2 linked regions of the Daphnia pulex genome follow. The protein of the gene in region 1 purifies or fractionates together with the protein of each later gene. This does not show direct contact. Links are inferred from orthologs where the notes say so. Each region holds a gene or a part of one and is shown in the gene's direction. Other genes may lie near its edges.

Region 1 (8,277 bases):
CCAAAGTTAACAACTATTTTATTTGCGAAATTCAAATGTCCATTTCTTTTACCTTTCTGCTTTCGGAGCCACGAGCTTCAAAACATTTACGATCTGTTAAACACGAATCACTTTTTCGGTTCATTTTTATTTGTTAAGTGCAATCAGGGAACAGAAGTGTAAGACTTGTTAGCTCAAAAACCTACAGACGAGTACTGCGCAAGTTTAAAGAGTAAACGGATCGTTACAGTTGAGGTGTATGCGTTACAACAGTTTGAATCCAACTGAACTGGATGATCACGAGGCTTACTAGGATAGGATGGTCTAAATATTCCGTGGTACACCCTGGGAACCTACGAAAAGAACAGGTTCGCAGGCCTTTAAATGCCGACAAACTGCCATTGAAAAACTGTTGAATGAAGGACAGTGGCAACCGTAAACCAAGCACCTCCCATTTCTTCCCCCCGCCCTCAATATAATCGTATACGCTTAAAGCTCGATGAATGTAATTTTCAAGCCCTCTTTTCACTTTTCCTCTCAACCGCCCCTCAGAAAAAGAACAACTTAGTCTCTGCAGAAGAAAAAAACACTTTCGCCCCGTGGTAAGCGTGCCGCAACGTTTCCCATGATTGGTTCCTTCCCTGTGAAATTTATTATCCGTTGTCCGTACTGACGAGACACTATACTGTTACATAACACAATAACAAATATGAAATAAAAATCGAAAATATCGAATGTTTTTTGTGAAGGCTTTGCCAGCGAATTAACAAAGGTGCAGAAAAAAGAACCAAAATGTTTAACGGATTATTAAACATTTCAAATGAAGTGCGGCCATAGCATTTGTTAGTCTCACATTATCGTGAACTCTTCTAAATATATGATGATTATTTGATTAGTAAATTAGCCTATGGGTAAATTATTTGGGGTACTACAGTATTAGGTTAAATTTAATAAAAATTAATTGACATTAAACTACAATTGTTACCGCGTTTCGTCTTTCTCAATTTTATTTTATTTTTTATTGTATTATTCAAATTCTATAGCCTACATATAACATTATGATTTACAGTCCCTCTGATAGTCTGATTGCAGATTCCCGTATTGACTACCATGCTCCGTGCTTGATGCTTCTGATCTGAGCCTGAGCGATCATTTTTCTACTCTTTTGGTGAACTGTATGCAAAACATTCCATTTTGTGTTGCTTAGTAACCAAAATATTCAAAATTTAGTTTCATTACATTTCGTACTCGTTAAAGCGTGAAAAGCCGGGGAATGCAAATTTCTAAACGATTTTGTATTTTTTACTGTTAATCTCCGTAAGATGGTGTTTACTGTTTACTGCTGGGCTGTCAATGGGCGTCTGCTGGGCTTGAGTCATACCCATAAAGTAATTACTGATGATTCAGTGAATTCTGTGACTGATTTCTTCACTCCCATGTCAAGAAGAACTCACTTTAATCTACCATGGACATTAACAAAGCAAAAAGCATTGTTCTAGCTACGTTATTTGTGGTTACACTATTATCATGTTTACTGCCATTAAAGCTAATGGATACAATCCGAAATGTCGCAGATCCTGTTCGGAAACTAAGGTCGCATATTTTTTTTCTTTCTTCTAAGCAAAAATTGATGTTTACGTGTACGTTTTTCTCTCTTTTCTTAAGGTACTCACGAGTAATCAGTTTGTTGAACTGTTTTGCTGGAGGAGTTTTTCTTGGGACCTGTCTACTAGATTTGTTTCCTGAAGTGCAAGACAACATTGATGAGGTCATGGTTGCGTTGAAAATCAACAGTTCATTTCCATTTGCCGAATTCCTAGTTGTTCTAGGACTCTTCACCGTTTTAATTGTGGAACAAATATCTCTTGATTGCAAACATGAACCTTCACAGTAAAATGATAACAACAGTATGTTAAGTGCAAAACGACTCATTGCTTCAACTTTGTTTTTTAGACAAGAAATTGGTGAAAGAGAACCTTTACTTCAAGGTTCCACAAGGGAAGTAAATGCAACAAATGCTGATCCTGAGGTGTCCTTTCTTTATGGAAGTGGACAGCCTATCAATGAAGCATCTCATCATAGTCATAGTGGTCATAGCCATGATTCTCATCATTCAGCCAATTCATCTCTACGATCTCTCTTATTATCAGTGGCTCTATCTCTACATTCCATTTTTGAGGGATTAGCAATAGGTAATATTGAATTTCTAATCCTCTCTTCATATAAAGTTATACTAATCTCTTTTTTTGTTTCTCAAAACATCACAGGATTGCAAAAAAATGTAGAAGAGGTTCTGCAAATTTTTGCGGCTGTAGTGCTCCATAAATGTGTAATTGCATTTGGTCTTAGCCTCAATCTTGTTCAGAGTAATCTTCGGACCAGAGTGATAATTCAGTTGACTCTAATATTTTGTCTCGCTGCTCCGATTGGTTTGGGAATCGGAATGGGCGTTGAGTTAATTAGTAACTCTCTTGAGGCAACAATATTGAGTGGTATTTTGCAAGGTATGGCTTGCGGAACGTTCCTTTATGTGACCTTTTTCGAAGTGCTGCCGCACGAGTTGAATAGCAATGATCTGAGAACGCCAAAAATGCTCTTCATCATTCTCGGCTTTGCCGCGTCTTGTGCTATCGTCTTTCTGGATCCTGACACTGCAAAACCAAGATGTCCTTAGTTTATAAAAGTCCAATTTTATATCTCTGGAGAGGCATTCTCAACTCAATATGAATGCCAAGGTCTATTAAAACATTATTTCTGTGTTTATTGAAAACTTGACATTTAAACTGTTTTGCAAACAATGAGGCGCGTTAATTTCGAATATGATCATATAACACTTTCATAAATAAAAATGTGTACATAATTTGTACTTTGATACTGTAAGCTTGGATTTTCATAAATATAATGAAGCAATAGTGCGTATAATCATGGTGACTAATCATAATTTCAAACATCTTGGGGAAAGAGGAGTTCGAACTAAAAGCTTTGGACGACAACCGCTAGGCAGCGCACTGGCGGACGTCAGCGTTTACCCTTACTCTCGAATGTGGTAATCAAGAAGACGACAGAAACTTTCGAACAAGTTCTGGAATCTGAAGTTGTATTGTTCTATAATTATTTTGGAATACATACGAGTGTTCGTTGAATTTCTAAAACATGGCTGAGTCGAGTGAGCCACAAAAAATAAAATTGACCGTTAAAACCCCGAAGGATAAGAAAGATGTAGAGGTACCGGAAGAGGCCTCAATCAAAGAGGTAATGCTCAAATGAACAATATGTAACAAATTTGTTTTTCTAATGAACTCTATTTTAATCCTGATTCTTGGTCTGCATTCTAATGTATATTTCCATTTTAGCTGAAAGAAATTGTAGCTGAAAAGTTTGGGGCAACTGCTGAACAGGTGTGCCTTATCTTCGCTGGCAAAATTCTTAAAGATCAAGAGACATTGAAAGGGCACAACCTGAAGGATGGACTCACAGTACACCTTGTCATCAAATCTGGCAATGCCATCAGAACCACACAGGAATCACCAAGCAATGTTTCATCCAACACGATTCCACAGCCGTCTGTAACTCCTAGCAGACCGGCAGAGCCGAGTCCCTCATCTCCCTTTGGAATTGGTGGATTGGGTGGTCTTGCAGGTTTGTAAAAAAAAAAAAAAAAATTTGAAAAGTGTTATGTTATAAAATTGTGTTTTTGTTTATTTAGGTTTATCAAATATGGGATTGGGCTCAGGGAACTTCATGGAGATGCAGCAAAATATGCAAAGGGAAATACTTTCAAATCCTGAAACACTACGCAATATGATGGACAATCCTCTTGTTCAATCACTTATGAGTAACCCTGACTATATGAGACAAATTTTGACTTCTAACCCACAAATGCAGCAGTTGCTGGAGGTAGGCAATCTGTGTTATAAAAGTATGGAACTCTGACTAAAATAGAATTTGAAATTTTGCAGCGTCATCCAGAAATCAATCATGTAATGAACAATCCAGAACTGTTGAGACAAACGATGGAAATTGCAAGGAATCCTGCCATGTTGCAGGAACTTATGCGCAGTCAGGATCGGGCTCTTTCTAATTTGGAATCAATTCCAGGAGGTTACAGTGCCCTTCAACGAATGTATCGCGACATTCAGGTTTTAAAGAAATGGAAATCTTTCAAGAAGCTTTGCTCACTGATGGATGTTGATTGATTCTTTAGGAGCCAATGTTCAATGCTGCTCAAGAACAGTTTGGTGGCAATCCTTTTGCCGCTTTGGTTAATAACGCCGGGCCTCTTGCTGGGTCGGCTAATCCTCAAGCAGGACAAGAAAACCGTGCTCCTTTACCAAATCCCTGGTCTGGACCATCTTCGACTCAGTTTGTTTATTGTCAAGTATGCTTATTATAGTAAATGAAACAAAACACCGTTTATATTTTTAGGTCGCCTGGAAGCAATTCTGAGACTAGAACTGGTGGTGAAAATCGAAGCCCATCCAGTTCAGCTGCCCAAGGTGTAACAGGCATGCCAGGCATGCCCGGCATGATTAATTCACCAGGAATGCAGTCTTTGATGCAGCAGATTGTCGATAATCCGCAACTTATGCAGAGTATGATGAATGCCCCTTATGTCCAAAGTATGTTCCAACAAATGGGTTCAAATCCACAACTAGCCGAACAGATGATCCTCAACAATCCTCTATTTGCCAGTACGTTTAGTTAATTGTTTCATTTCGTGTTATTTTGTTTTTCAATTATTTATTTTATAATATCACCGTCAATCAGGCAACCCAGCTATGCAAGAACAAATGAGGACAATGCTACCAACATTCATGGCTCAGCTCAATAATCCGGAAATTCAGAATTTGGTCACAAACCCACAAGCTATGTCGGCGATGATGCAGATTCAACAAGGAATGGAGCAACTCCGACAAGTCGCACCATCGTTTGCTACTACGTATGACAACTTCTCATTCTATAATAATCGGCAGCGAATGTAAATGTAATTCTTGTTCGATTGATTTTGCAGGCTTGGTCTCGGTTCTCTTCCTCCGCCTTTGAATCCTGCTGCAAGCACTACACCCGCTGCGTCGGATACGACGACAACAGCTCCTCCACCGACGACTACCCGGCCTGGATCTGACGCTTTTAGCAACATGATGGCAAGCATGGTAGAAGCGCAATAATTGATTTTTACACACAAATTCAGTAAAACAACTATTTATTTTTCGAACGGATAGCTAACTTCCCTAGCAGGTCAAGGTGGAATTGGAAGCGGAATTGGCGGTGGTTCCACCCAACCACCGGAAGAAAGATACCGTTCACAGTTAGAACAATTAACAGCTATGGGATTTATTAACAGAGAGGCCAACCTCCAAGGTAATTTTTAAGAAAATATTCAAAACAGACAAGTTTCTTAAAATTTTATTTTTGTTTTTAGCCTTGATCGCAACCTTTGGCGATGTGAATGCTGCTGTGGAAAGATTACTGCAGAATCGCCCTATGATTTAAATGTTGTCTGAAGATTTTTTGTGTTCTTTTATTTTCATAATTACCTTTCCTTCTTACCACTCTCTTGCCATTCTTTTCTTATCACCTAGTAATTCCTTTCTAACTCTTCTCGGTTGAGTATCTTGAAAATGATCAGTTGATTTCGATATCGAGCGCTAACTTTTCAAGACTGTTTACAAGGTACTTTTTCTTGTAGTCAGACGGGTTGTAACATTGATTTCTTTGTCTAACATCTCTTGTCCTATTACCCTCCTTTAAGTTTTTTTTTCCAGGTCTTTCCAGACACATTTCCAAGCCTATCACTTCTCCCTTCCTTTGGTTGTATAATCTGATGTTAGAATCCATCCAATATATAAATGATCAGAACGTTTTGTTGGTGAAGTCTTATGTAATTCAATATTTAATCTTGGATAGAATTTCAAGTACCCACACGTGCATTATTCCCATTCCAAAAGCAAAAAAAAAACAAAGATAGGTATAGAAAGCACGTCGGCAAAAACAGGATCCTTGAGGTACTTGGGTTAACATGTGTACAAAGACCCAAATAAAAGCGGATTAATTGGCTAGCGGAGTGGAGCAGACGAAGAGGAAGACATGCTGCCCAAGCTGCTAGGAGGCGAAGTGGTTCCGGCCAACTGCGAAATGCTGCTGCCGATTCCCAGGCTACTACTGGCAGGTCCACTGCCAAGGCTACTGCTTCCTACTCCGAAATTCATTTTTTCCATGTCTTCATCCAGCTGATTTTGATGCAACTCTTGAAGTGTATGAACCAACCGCGTCCATTCGTCTGCTCTTGGAACAGCCAATTGCTGAAAATTTACAATTCATTTAAAAGTTAAACATTAAACATTAGAAGTCAACAGTACGAAAGATATACAAGATAAGTTCATACCTCTCCAACTTCATAAACCCAAATTCGCCCATTATCATCGCCCACAGTGAGATTCATTCCAGATTGGGTCCACTTGACACGATTTAAGGCAGGATTGCCGTCAACATTAATACTAGTAACTGGTACCTAAATAATATTCGAGGTTAAAACCAAATTTTAGAGGTATGAAAAATCACAAGACCAACCTCTGTGTCTTGATTAAGATTCCAAACATCAAGACGGCCCATGCCGTCCACTGTGGCGAACACAGCTGGATGAATTGGAGACCAAGCTACGTCATAGACATAATCACCATTGTCTTCAAATGAATACAATGGTTTGTTCTCCTGCAACATCGAATAAAAGAAATGGATTAGTAACTTGATCCGTAAAAATAAAAAAATAAAACTATTCTCACCTTGAGACTCCAAAGTTTGACGGTCCAGTCGACAGAGGACGTAAGAAAGAGGTGTGAAAAATCAATAGGTCCTTGAGAGTTGTGACAGTCCATGCCACGAATTGGTCCTTGGTGTCCCTCGTAGGTATCGATAATTCCGGCACGCGGTCCGTGACGACCAGCTATTTCGATTGATAGTCGTGTTACTTCGACAGGATGCAACGAATTATTTGAATAAAAATACCGGAGTAGATTGTGCCTTCCTCGCTGCCAACGATGAAATTGTTGATGTCGGATTGGGGCTGGGGGAAGGCCATGCACGTCGCGGCAACGGCACGACTTTGGCGCTGTTGCAAGTCCAGCGTCTCCTGCGGTTGTGCCAGCATATCTAAACTCCACGAGCACATTTTCCCGTCAGTTGAAATCGAAATCAAACTGTGCGAATTTTGCGTTCCGACTACACTTAGGCAGTAGACCGGGTGCTGCAAAATAATTTAAAAAAAAAAGTTGAATTAAGATTGAATGCTATAGGGATCAAACGAATTCAAATGTTTTACCGTGTGAGCCATTGCGGATAGGGGACTACGTTGGACGGGTGTCCTCTTGGGACTGCGATTATCCCACAGGACAATTTTTCCGGAATAGGTGCCACCCAAGATCAAGTTCGGGTGGAATCGAGCAAAACAGCAGGAGAGAACGGGGGATTGACAGTGGAAGATATACTCGGGTGTCGATTTCTTAAAGCGAGTATTCCAGACAAGACAAACGCCATCGGGATCATGTGGTGAATCCTGCAACAATTCAACAACAAAAATCATCATTTATCAATACAAAATACTGGAAAATAAAAAATGAGTGGGACATACTTCGTTGTTATGATACGATGCAACCAACAACTCTGGAAATTGTGGCGACCAATCCATGCACGTCACACAGCGATTGCGCGACCAGCGTTCGTCATAGAAGCAGCGGTTCAAATGAATCTTGTAGCCAGAACGGTCATCTCTGAAAAGAAAAATCTTTGAATGCAAACCACACATTTGAGTGATGGGAAAAAATAAAAATAAAGAAATTTACACATTATTGTCGGTTTCAGAAGCCCCCGTGTAGTCTGTAAAGATGTCGACGTGTTCGCTAAGAGCACGTTCGATGATGCGAGAGGATTGACCAAAGAATCGCTGGAAATCTTCCGTCATCAGAATCATTTGCTTCTCTTCTTCGCTTAGTTCTCGAGGTGGTTTACTCTGCGGCTGCGACTCCTGTTTGAAAGCTGCCTCTTCCACCGACGTCATGGCCGGCTTGACATCTAAAAAAAAAAAAAAAAACGATGTTGAGAGTTAAAAATATTAATTATTATTCACTTTTCACTTGATTGTTGATCATCACCTTTAACTTGGGGCATTCCGTGCGGAAGGATGCCAGGTGGCAAAACAGAGTTGCGCGAGGCGTAGCTGCCGTCGAGATTAGGTAGTGAACTGTCATCTTCCTCCGTCCTGTCGTAGGTGAGAACTGAAAGACAGAAATCAAGAACAAGATG
Region 2 (8,277 bases), on another chromosome or scaffold:
TTTGTTATATTTAGTCCCTGTTTATATTTAGTTAGTTTAAAACGTTGGTAATTTTTCATTTAGGTGTCTATTGGATTATTCTTCGTAAGCAAGAATGATCTAAAGATATTTTCAGTAAAAGATTATGATCTCTTTTCCCGTGAGCGGACTGAAGTCTTAGAAGGCATTAACTATGGTTTGTAAAGAAAATTCCCGTAAGTGAATGCTATCAACTTATTATTGATGTTAATCTAAACGTTTCCCAAGGTTCACGTAAATGTCTTGATCGAGATCATTTTAAAATTTTTGGTATCACTATATTTAATGAAAATATATATTATTCATTTTTAATCAAATTTTATGACTTATCCAGCATTTTATGACGCTTCCAACCTTCTTTACAAGTCGAATTACTCCAGTGGATGATTGATATGCTTTGCCCGCAAGAAATCAATAACAGCACTCCGATAGATGGAACCCATGGATGGAATATAGCTGACATTAGTTAGCAAAAAATGACATAATAGTAGACTTACACGCAACATGGCTTTTCAAAACATTTTATTTTATGACGATCAGCACATCAAAAGAGGAAGTCTCAAAATTTCGACCAAAAACTTAGTGGTACTTCAAATGCGGATATCAACAGACAAGACGATAGGAAATGTAGCGCCCTGCAGTTTCACTAGGTCGAACGATTTTCACAACCTGTTAAGTAAATTTATTATAATATAAATAGTCTAAATATTTCACTCCCCTCCTTTGTAGATACCTGTCCTCTTTTAAGTCCAAAATACCGCGCAACGGGGTCCCCCATTTGAATTCGCATCAGTTGATTTTCTTTAAGTTTATAACGACCTAGAAGTTCTTGTTTTTCCTCTGGTGTGAGAACAACATGTTCTGGGACTAATTCATGCTCAGTAATGTTGATAAGGAGTTCAGATTCAGTGAAATATTCCAAGATATATTTTGGTGCCATATCCGTTAAGGACTAAATGGATTGAGAATATATTTTAATAAGTAGCTATACATTGACTTAGTCATTTAGTGTACCTGTTTGGCAGATGGTGTCATGCCTGATTGTACAACAATGATGGCCCTTGTTATATTTTCTTCTTGCATTCTCTGGCAGTAGGTTTTGATGGTTTTGATTCCAATTTTAGGCTCATCAGGGAAAAAAACAAACATTTGGTCAGTAGGGTCATCGTTGTGTGCAACCAAAACAATAAGATCACTGCGAGCTGGCTTCCGTTCACTGTACAAAACTTTAGTAAGTAAGCAGTTTTAGTTTTTGTGATAAGATACTTGCCTTGGTTTATCTCCAAACTGAATTTTGAACTGTTCCAAAGTTTGATCCAACTCATCTTGAGTAACTAAATACCCTCTATCGTGGCAAAGCTGAAAAAGAGACGTCAGCTTCAGGAAAATATAACTTGATTTACCACCTGTTATTCGATATTACCTGCATGATGGTCTTCCGAACTCTCCACATTCGGTAGGTTTCCGATTCATCATCCATGAGAAATCTTTATTCGGTTGTTGTGTTCAAGAAAAATCCAACACGTGCGAAAGTAGATGTTTCTTTTTCGAAATTGAGAAGCAAAGACGAGAAGAATCGAGCAATGCCGAAAAGTCGAAAGTATCGTCTGAATCTACCAATGTGGCAAAGTTTCTTGGATGCTTAGTGCTAACTGCATTCCCCAAGCGGTGAAAATGAGCTCTAGAGCCAATCCTCCATATTTTGCTATTCCTGGCAAAAGATTCAGAGTGGAAAGGCCACCTAGTGAGTAGTAACTATCACTGTGTACCTGATAAGGTTTTTCCAATTTGACAGATTAAGGAGTGAATGGCTTTTACCTTTCCCTTCTAGAGACCTTTATTCCTAAAAAAACCACTGTAATGGCGTCAAAAAAGGTATTTCTTACTCAACCGTGGTGTCGCTACGAAACTGTTCATTTTATTTATTTGTACGGATAGAAACAAACGACCCCAACTGATGACTTCTCAGCCAGAGGAGCACCATCACCGCCGACACAGAAAGTTTTTATTCAAAGGGACTATAGTGAAGGAACTCAAGTTAGATTTCAGCCCAAATTTCCCTCAGAACTGGAAGGGAAGGTAAGAAAATAAATGTTTTTCATTTTGTTTAATGTTCAGGGTTGAATAGCAGTCAAAATAAATAATCGGTGTGTGTGCATGTTGGATTGTGCACTCATGCCAGAATTATTTATATACAGTTATTATCATTATCAAATCATTTTAATTGTTCTAATACTGTATTCATTTGTTTTAGATTGAAAGGGAAAAATTTGAGTACACTCTTAATACTCTTAATGAGGTATATGCAGAAGCAGAAAAAATGAGTTGTAGCTCATGCTGTGAGGGATGTTTCGCATGCTTGACTGCATACTTGCTATACTGTTGTAGTGATACTCATTTTGAGAAGGCAAGTCCAGTAAGAATCTACTTCTCTAGATTTTGACTTTAATCATCCTTTTTTTTTATAGTGTTTGAAGAAGGTGGCCAAATTTATCATTGAACAAAATGAAAGAGTTTATGTACCTAGAGGACTACTGATTATTGACCCTGTTGAACGAGGACTCAGAGTTGTATCCTTTTAAAAAAAACTTAGTTAATTGCTACTAGGTTGTATGTTTTATTCTTAAGTAGCACATTTAAAAATTATAGCAAAATACCTAGTATCAATCATATTAAATCAAATGGTAAAAAACCTAAAATCGTTAGATGTGGTAATACTTAGTTTCACATAATTTTAATTTAACATAATTTTACTGAATATTTTTATCTATACGCCATTCATACATAAACATTCCTTAACTTAATTATCTCTACAGATTGAAATTTGCATTTTCAGCGACAATCCTGCTTCTACACCTGCCAGGAACAACTAAATTTATGAAGACATCCTTGTATCTATATATTTGTAATTATGAACTTGAGTTTTCCTTTTTCATATTCCCATCCTAAGTTTGTGTAAACATGTGCTCATCATCATTAACTACCTAGATATTGTAAAATGAATAAATTGTGAAATGTGATTTGAATACTGATCCTTTGAAACAAATTGGTTTTGTCGTCATTTACCGCTTCCTTTATATCCAAACGTAAGTGAATTGTGCTACCGCGTATGGAAGCGCAAATAGGTGATAAATAAAACGTAGAAATTTGTGTAAGATCTAAATTGGTGAACTGGTAATTTTAAATACTGCAAATTTAAATCCATTAAAAACCCAAGCAGGAGCTAACAGATTTTGTTAGATTAACTAATTTATTTACTATTGAAGTTTCTGATTTTTATCTAAGTGTTTGTTTTATTTCAACTTGCTCATAAATTCAGTTCTGTTTATGTATCTAGTGCGTAAATTAATAATTAATTACAAAAGAAAATTCGCTGTCCGTCACGGCATCCAACTAGTTAAGAAGTAGCTACAAGAATTACAAAATGGTTATAAATTAACTTCTCTCCGCGAGAAGTATAAATTCTGAAAGAAAGATTAGGCTGAAAAATTTTAATCATCCTAAAAAAGGATTAGTAGATCAGACTGGAACAGAAGTACAGAACGAGGAACGGACCAACCAAAACTCGGGAAATTCAGAATCGTGATAAATTCGTTTTCTTTGGTTTCCTGGCAACCCCGCATGAATTGTCACAAATTTACATCGACTGAACAACTTTTTTCATCGAGAAAGCAAAAATGGTGCTCGAAAGTACTATGATCTGGTAAATAAATCCGGTTTCTATCTTATCTTAAATTTGAAAATTGGTAAAGTAACAGTTAAGGGTCATATCATTCCAAATTATGGGAGTAATTTTTTTGTTTTGGATTATCTATTTGCTCTACTTGAGGAGTGAATTTTAGGCTTGTTGACTTGCAATTTTCTGAGTTAATGCGGCATTTTTAAATTTTAGTGTGGATAACAGCGAGTTCATGCGAAATGGAGATTTCATTCCTAGCCGACTCCAAGCCCAGCAAGATGCTGTTAATATGGTTTGTCATTCAAAAACAAGATCTAACCCAGAAAATAATGTTGGTCTACTGACATTGGCCAAGTATGCATTTCGCTAAGTTGTACGGCAATTTGTTCTCTAACTGATGTGTTGCCTCACTAAATTTCAGCACCAAGGTACTGGCAACATTGACTACAGATGCTGGGCGTATACTATCAAAGCTTCATCAAGTGCAGCCAGAAGGCTCAATCAATCTCCTAACAGGAGTTAGAATTGCCCATGTAATATTTATTTTGAAGTATTGTGTTCTTGAGTTATCTAATATTAATTTACCTGTCTAATAGCTCGCTCTTAAACATCGGCAAGGGAAAAATCATCGAACTAGAATTGTAGTATTCATAGGTTCCCCCCTGAATTTCGATGAAAAGGAATTGAACAAATTGGCCAGAAAACTGAAGAAAGAAAAAGTTAATGTTGATATCATTTGCTTTGGGGAGGAAGTGAGTTCTTTCTTTGTTTTTTAAATAACTATTTCGGTAATTTCTTACATGATTTTGGATTTTATTAGAATGGAGGAACTGAAGTGCTGGCTAGTTTTATCAATACTCTTAATGGCAAAGATGGCACTGGCAGTCATTTAGTTACCATTCCACCCGGTAATTTTACAAATCCTTTTAAAGGATGTATATATTTTTACAGTATCAATTTTTTGTTTAAAGGGCCCCATCTTGCCGATGCGCTGATTTCCTCACCAGTCATTCAAGGAGAAGATGGTACAGGAGCGGTTGGAATGGGGGCTGGAGGTTTTGAATTTGTCGATCCTAATGAAGATCCTGAATTAGCTCTCGTAAGTGTTATCACTATTTAAATAGTTTATTATTTCATTTTAAAATTATTTTCTTATTAAAGGCGTTACGAGTGTCGATGGAGGAGCAGCGTCAGCGTCAAGAGGACGAAGCTCGTCGTTCGGGAAATCCGCCGGCTACAGAGCCCGCTGCAGCTACCACTATTGGCGGTGCCCCTGCTTCCAACGAAGATGCTATGCTCGAGCGTGCGTTGGCTATGTCTATGGATCAACCAAGTGTCAATACAACTGTAGCCAGTGCCGCCCCTGCAGCACCCGTTTATCCCGATTTCGCAACAATGACTGAAGAGGAACAAATTGCATATGCAATGCAAATGTCCATGGCAGAAGCTCGTAAGTTCTTTGTAAGGTGATATGTTGTTGCGGTTTGTAGACTAATAATTTAATATAAAATTCAGAGGGACCAGTAAAAACGGAAACCGAAGCTATGGAAGTAGAACCAACGCCAGCAGCTGCGGCTAGTGATGATTATGATGAAGTTATGAAAGATCCCGAATTTCTTCAGAGTGTCCTAGAAACGCTTCCAGGTGTTGATCCTTCAAGTGATGCTGTACAATCTGCCGTCGACGCTTTGCGAAACCAAGATAAAGACAAAAAGCAAGGCAAAAAGCCTGACTCCAAGTAAACAGATTGATTTCTTACGCGTCGCGAATGTTTGAATCCGGAATAAATTGATTTTCATCTGTTCATTACGTCTGCATTTAATGTAATGCGGAAGGTGTTTTGTTCGGTTGGCACATAACTGCGTAATTGATTATTCTAGGATGTTTTCGTATTTTTCTGAACTGAATAAAGAAACTCAAAAAATCTTGATGTACAAATTTATCTCTAGAACATGCGCTTTTGAATGACATATACACAAGCTGCAAAGAATGCAGCCAAAGCTAGAATAATTAAAATCAAATCGGTCGTCTCTCTCCGTCCAAACCGGGAGACCAACTTTTTTGTGGTTGTTAAGGCGCTTCCCATAACTTTAAACTCATCCTGATTGTCACTCACAGCATGTGATGATTGAGCTACACAATATATTAATTTATAGTATTGATTAAATTTAAAAAAAAATGGATTAATTGTTCATACCAAGTACTTCTAGAGTTCCTCTATTTTGCTCCAGAACACTAGCCATGGATTGACTTATACTTCTCAAATTGGCAGTCACATTGGTTGACATTTTGATAAGTTCCTCTTTTGATTTAGTTTGTCTACAAATTTAACATAAATTCAAATAAGCCAACAAGACAGAAATCAAATTCATAAAGTTACCTGGATCTTACTTCCATATCTTCAGGATTACTGTAAAAGAGTTCAGCTTTGTTTTTTAAACTGACAGTTAGTTGGCACTGTACATTAGCTTTCCTGGAAAGATGAAAGAAAATAATGCATTAAAACATGAAAACTTACAAACTATTACCGAAATGCACTTTGGAGACTTTTCAATTGATTTTTGAAGAGATTGACATCTTCAGATAGTTCTCCATCCTCATCTTCATCTTTGGAAATTTTTTCAAACTCATCGATACAATTTTTAAGTTTTCTAAATTCTGACCGATATTCTGAGTTCAACACCACAATATCAGCTTCTGTAATATCTGTCTTTTGTATTTGCTTTACAGAAAAAGTGTGGATGATTAATAGCAATCCGATTACATTAATATAATTTAATATTTGCATTACATACATGCAGAATGGTTTGTATGGTCAAATTTCCTTTAAGAATGTCATTTTTCAAAGATTCTATTTCACTACCTTCAGAATTTTTCATTGTATTTTAATATTTGGGGTAAAATGCACGAAACTGCCTATTTATCGCTATTCGCTACACTGACAGATTCACAGCAGATGGTTTGTTGTGATGTGTGCCACGTTGCCCAAGAAAGAAAAAATTGCATCATTCCAAAAGAAGTACTTTTTTATTGCGTAAAAATAATTAAAACGATTAGAATCTTTGTTTCTAATGTAATAAGAAAGTTTCGTCATAATTTCTAAGCTGTTTAGAAAACTTGGAGACAGAGTGCTGGCTGCTGGAGGTCATTCAAGGTAAATCGGTTCTTTTAATGGCGCATAGTATAGTGATAAGCAAAACAAACGCTTCCTTTTTGGACCGCTGGGAAGTGTACTTGTAATGCTGACGAAAGTGGAATAGAATAGAAAGAAGTGAAAGAATAGAGGTTTCGGTTTGTTCTACTGGCAGAGTTCTTTTTAAAAAATTGTGGAATTGGCCTATAGAGAAGAGCAGTTACAGTTTGGACGTGCATTGTGATGTGTAGCTTGTTTAATCTGTGGTGATCTACTCAATCTAGATGAAATGATACCTCGGACAGCCTAGTTACTACAGTTCATTTCGCGCCCAGTTTGTGTTGTGTTCAAGTCGATCCCTTGTCGACCCATCTTTGATGCCAAGTGAAAAGTAGCTTACAAATACCGTAGTATAAATAGTACCTTTGGAAATCAACAAAAAGTATAAATATTGCGCACAAAACTGTGTCGCATTTGGCAAAGCCCATTCGGCAGTTTTAATTTTAGTGTCGTAGCTTTGTTATTCTCGAGTAAACCACAACAACAAACACATTTTAGCTCCCTTCGCTCGTACTGGTGGTCGCTAAATTTTAGGTCTCCTTGGGCTTTAACTAGTCTATATTTTGAAGATGGCCATAGTCATTCAACAGCAGCGTCAAAACAAACGCCATAAAACAAAATCCATCGGGAGCCCCGTAAGTATATTTCATCACATTTTGTGAAAGGGAAACCGCTATACACAGTCCTTTGTTGTCACATGACGTCAGCATGATATCCGTTATGTTCTATAGTCGTGTTCAGACTTGTTCAGATTTCTTTTTTTCTTCTTCAAACCCCAATTCTTTTGTTTACCGTGTTCTAAACGACCAACAGTGGGGCAGGTTTCCCTAAAATTTTTATAAGAGTGCAGTGAAAGTAAACACTGAATTTTACTATTTTTTCTGACCCAGATAACAAGACTGTAGAGTGCCCAATAAATAAGATGCACTTTCTTTTTCTATTTATTTACGACTTTATTGTGATGATCTCTTTTTAAAAAAAGGACCCTATGGATGCATTTTTGGGGTTGTACGACAATGGATCGGATTCAGACGATGACGAATGGATTTCTCAGCTCGAAATAGGTGATCCTCTGGCCAGTAACAGCAACCAAAAGAAGAATCTACCACCAGAACCGCAATCCGGCAATATTGAATATAAACTTAAATTAGTGAACCCTTCGGAGCAACGGATCCAGCATCTTGTCACGCAGGTATTACTAACGCTAGTATATCACGGATGTGCACTCATCCATTTTTTAAATAAGCAATTAGTTAAAGAATGTTTTCAGTTGTAATTAAAAATTCATGCGGAGAAAAACCCGCCATAACTCTTCCCGCTTGTAGTAATAAGCAAAACAAGAGATTAAATCTTACTGCATAATTGTATCATTAATCTTTTAGTCAAA

Evidence for each region.
Region 2: the proteins of ubiquilin-1-like (region 1) and 26S proteasome non-ATPase regulatory subunit 4-like purify together in Drosophila melanogaster (affinity purification with western blotting; 3 studies listed by BioGRID, with this or other methods). This does not show direct contact. The link is inferred for Daphnia pulex from reciprocal best matches to the Drosophila melanogaster genes Ubqn and Rpn10.

What each region holds. Positions count from the first base shown.
Region 1 is NC_060019.1:8,123,419-8,131,695, forward strand, and holds ubiquilin-1-like, read left to right. Parts: upstream 1-2,968; 5' UTR 2,969-3,132; coding exon 3,133-3,231; intron 3,232-3,332; coding exon 3,333-3,618; intron 3,619-3,685; coding exon 3,686-3,876; intron 3,877-3,938; coding exon 3,939-4,118; intron 4,119-4,183; coding exon 4,184-4,341; intron 4,342-4,404; coding exon 4,405-4,670; intron 4,671-4,746; coding exon 4,747-4,918; intron 4,919-4,990; coding exon 4,991-5,132; intron 5,133-5,201; coding exon 5,202-5,340; intron 5,341-5,401; coding exon 5,402-5,472; 3' UTR 5,473-5,838; downstream 5,839-8,277. Other genes in the region: protein hairy-like, read right to left, coding at 53-124; zinc transporter ZIP1-like, read left to right, coding at 1,445-1,572, 1,645-1,869, 1,933-2,171, 2,247-2,653; cytoplasmic dynein 1 intermediate chain-like, read right to left, coding at 6,036-6,281, 6,365-6,490, 6,550-6,690, 6,762-6,922, 6,985-7,222, 7,298-7,531, 7,607-7,745, 7,818-8,046 and 1 more.
Region 2 is NC_060020.1:3,403,062-3,411,338, forward strand, and holds 26S proteasome non-ATPase regulatory subunit 4-like, read left to right. Parts: upstream 1-3,568; 5' UTR 3,569-3,695; coding exon 3,696-3,721; intron 3,722-3,910; coding exon 3,911-4,051; intron 4,052-4,118; coding exon 4,119-4,230; intron 4,231-4,293; coding exon 4,294-4,449; intron 4,450-4,517; coding exon 4,518-4,605; intron 4,606-4,668; coding exon 4,669-4,796; intron 4,797-4,858; coding exon 4,859-5,147; intron 5,148-5,212; coding exon 5,213-5,439; 3' UTR 5,440-5,501; downstream 5,502-8,277. Other genes in the region: DNA-directed RNA polymerases I, II, and III subunit RPABC1, read right to left, coding at 622-687, 752-970, 1,033-1,234, 1,289-1,377, 1,442-1,498; golgin subfamily A member 7-like, read left to right, coding at 1,879-1,893, 1,957-2,097, 2,273-2,425, 2,487-2,588, 2,835-2,891; vesicle transport protein SEC20-like, read right to left, coding at 5,643-5,830, 5,895-6,016, 6,078-6,170, 6,226-6,419, 6,493-6,576; GTP-binding protein 2-like, read left to right, coding at 7,460-7,525, 7,873-8,082. UniProt on the Drosophila melanogaster protein: Binds and presumably selects ubiquitin-conjugates for destruction.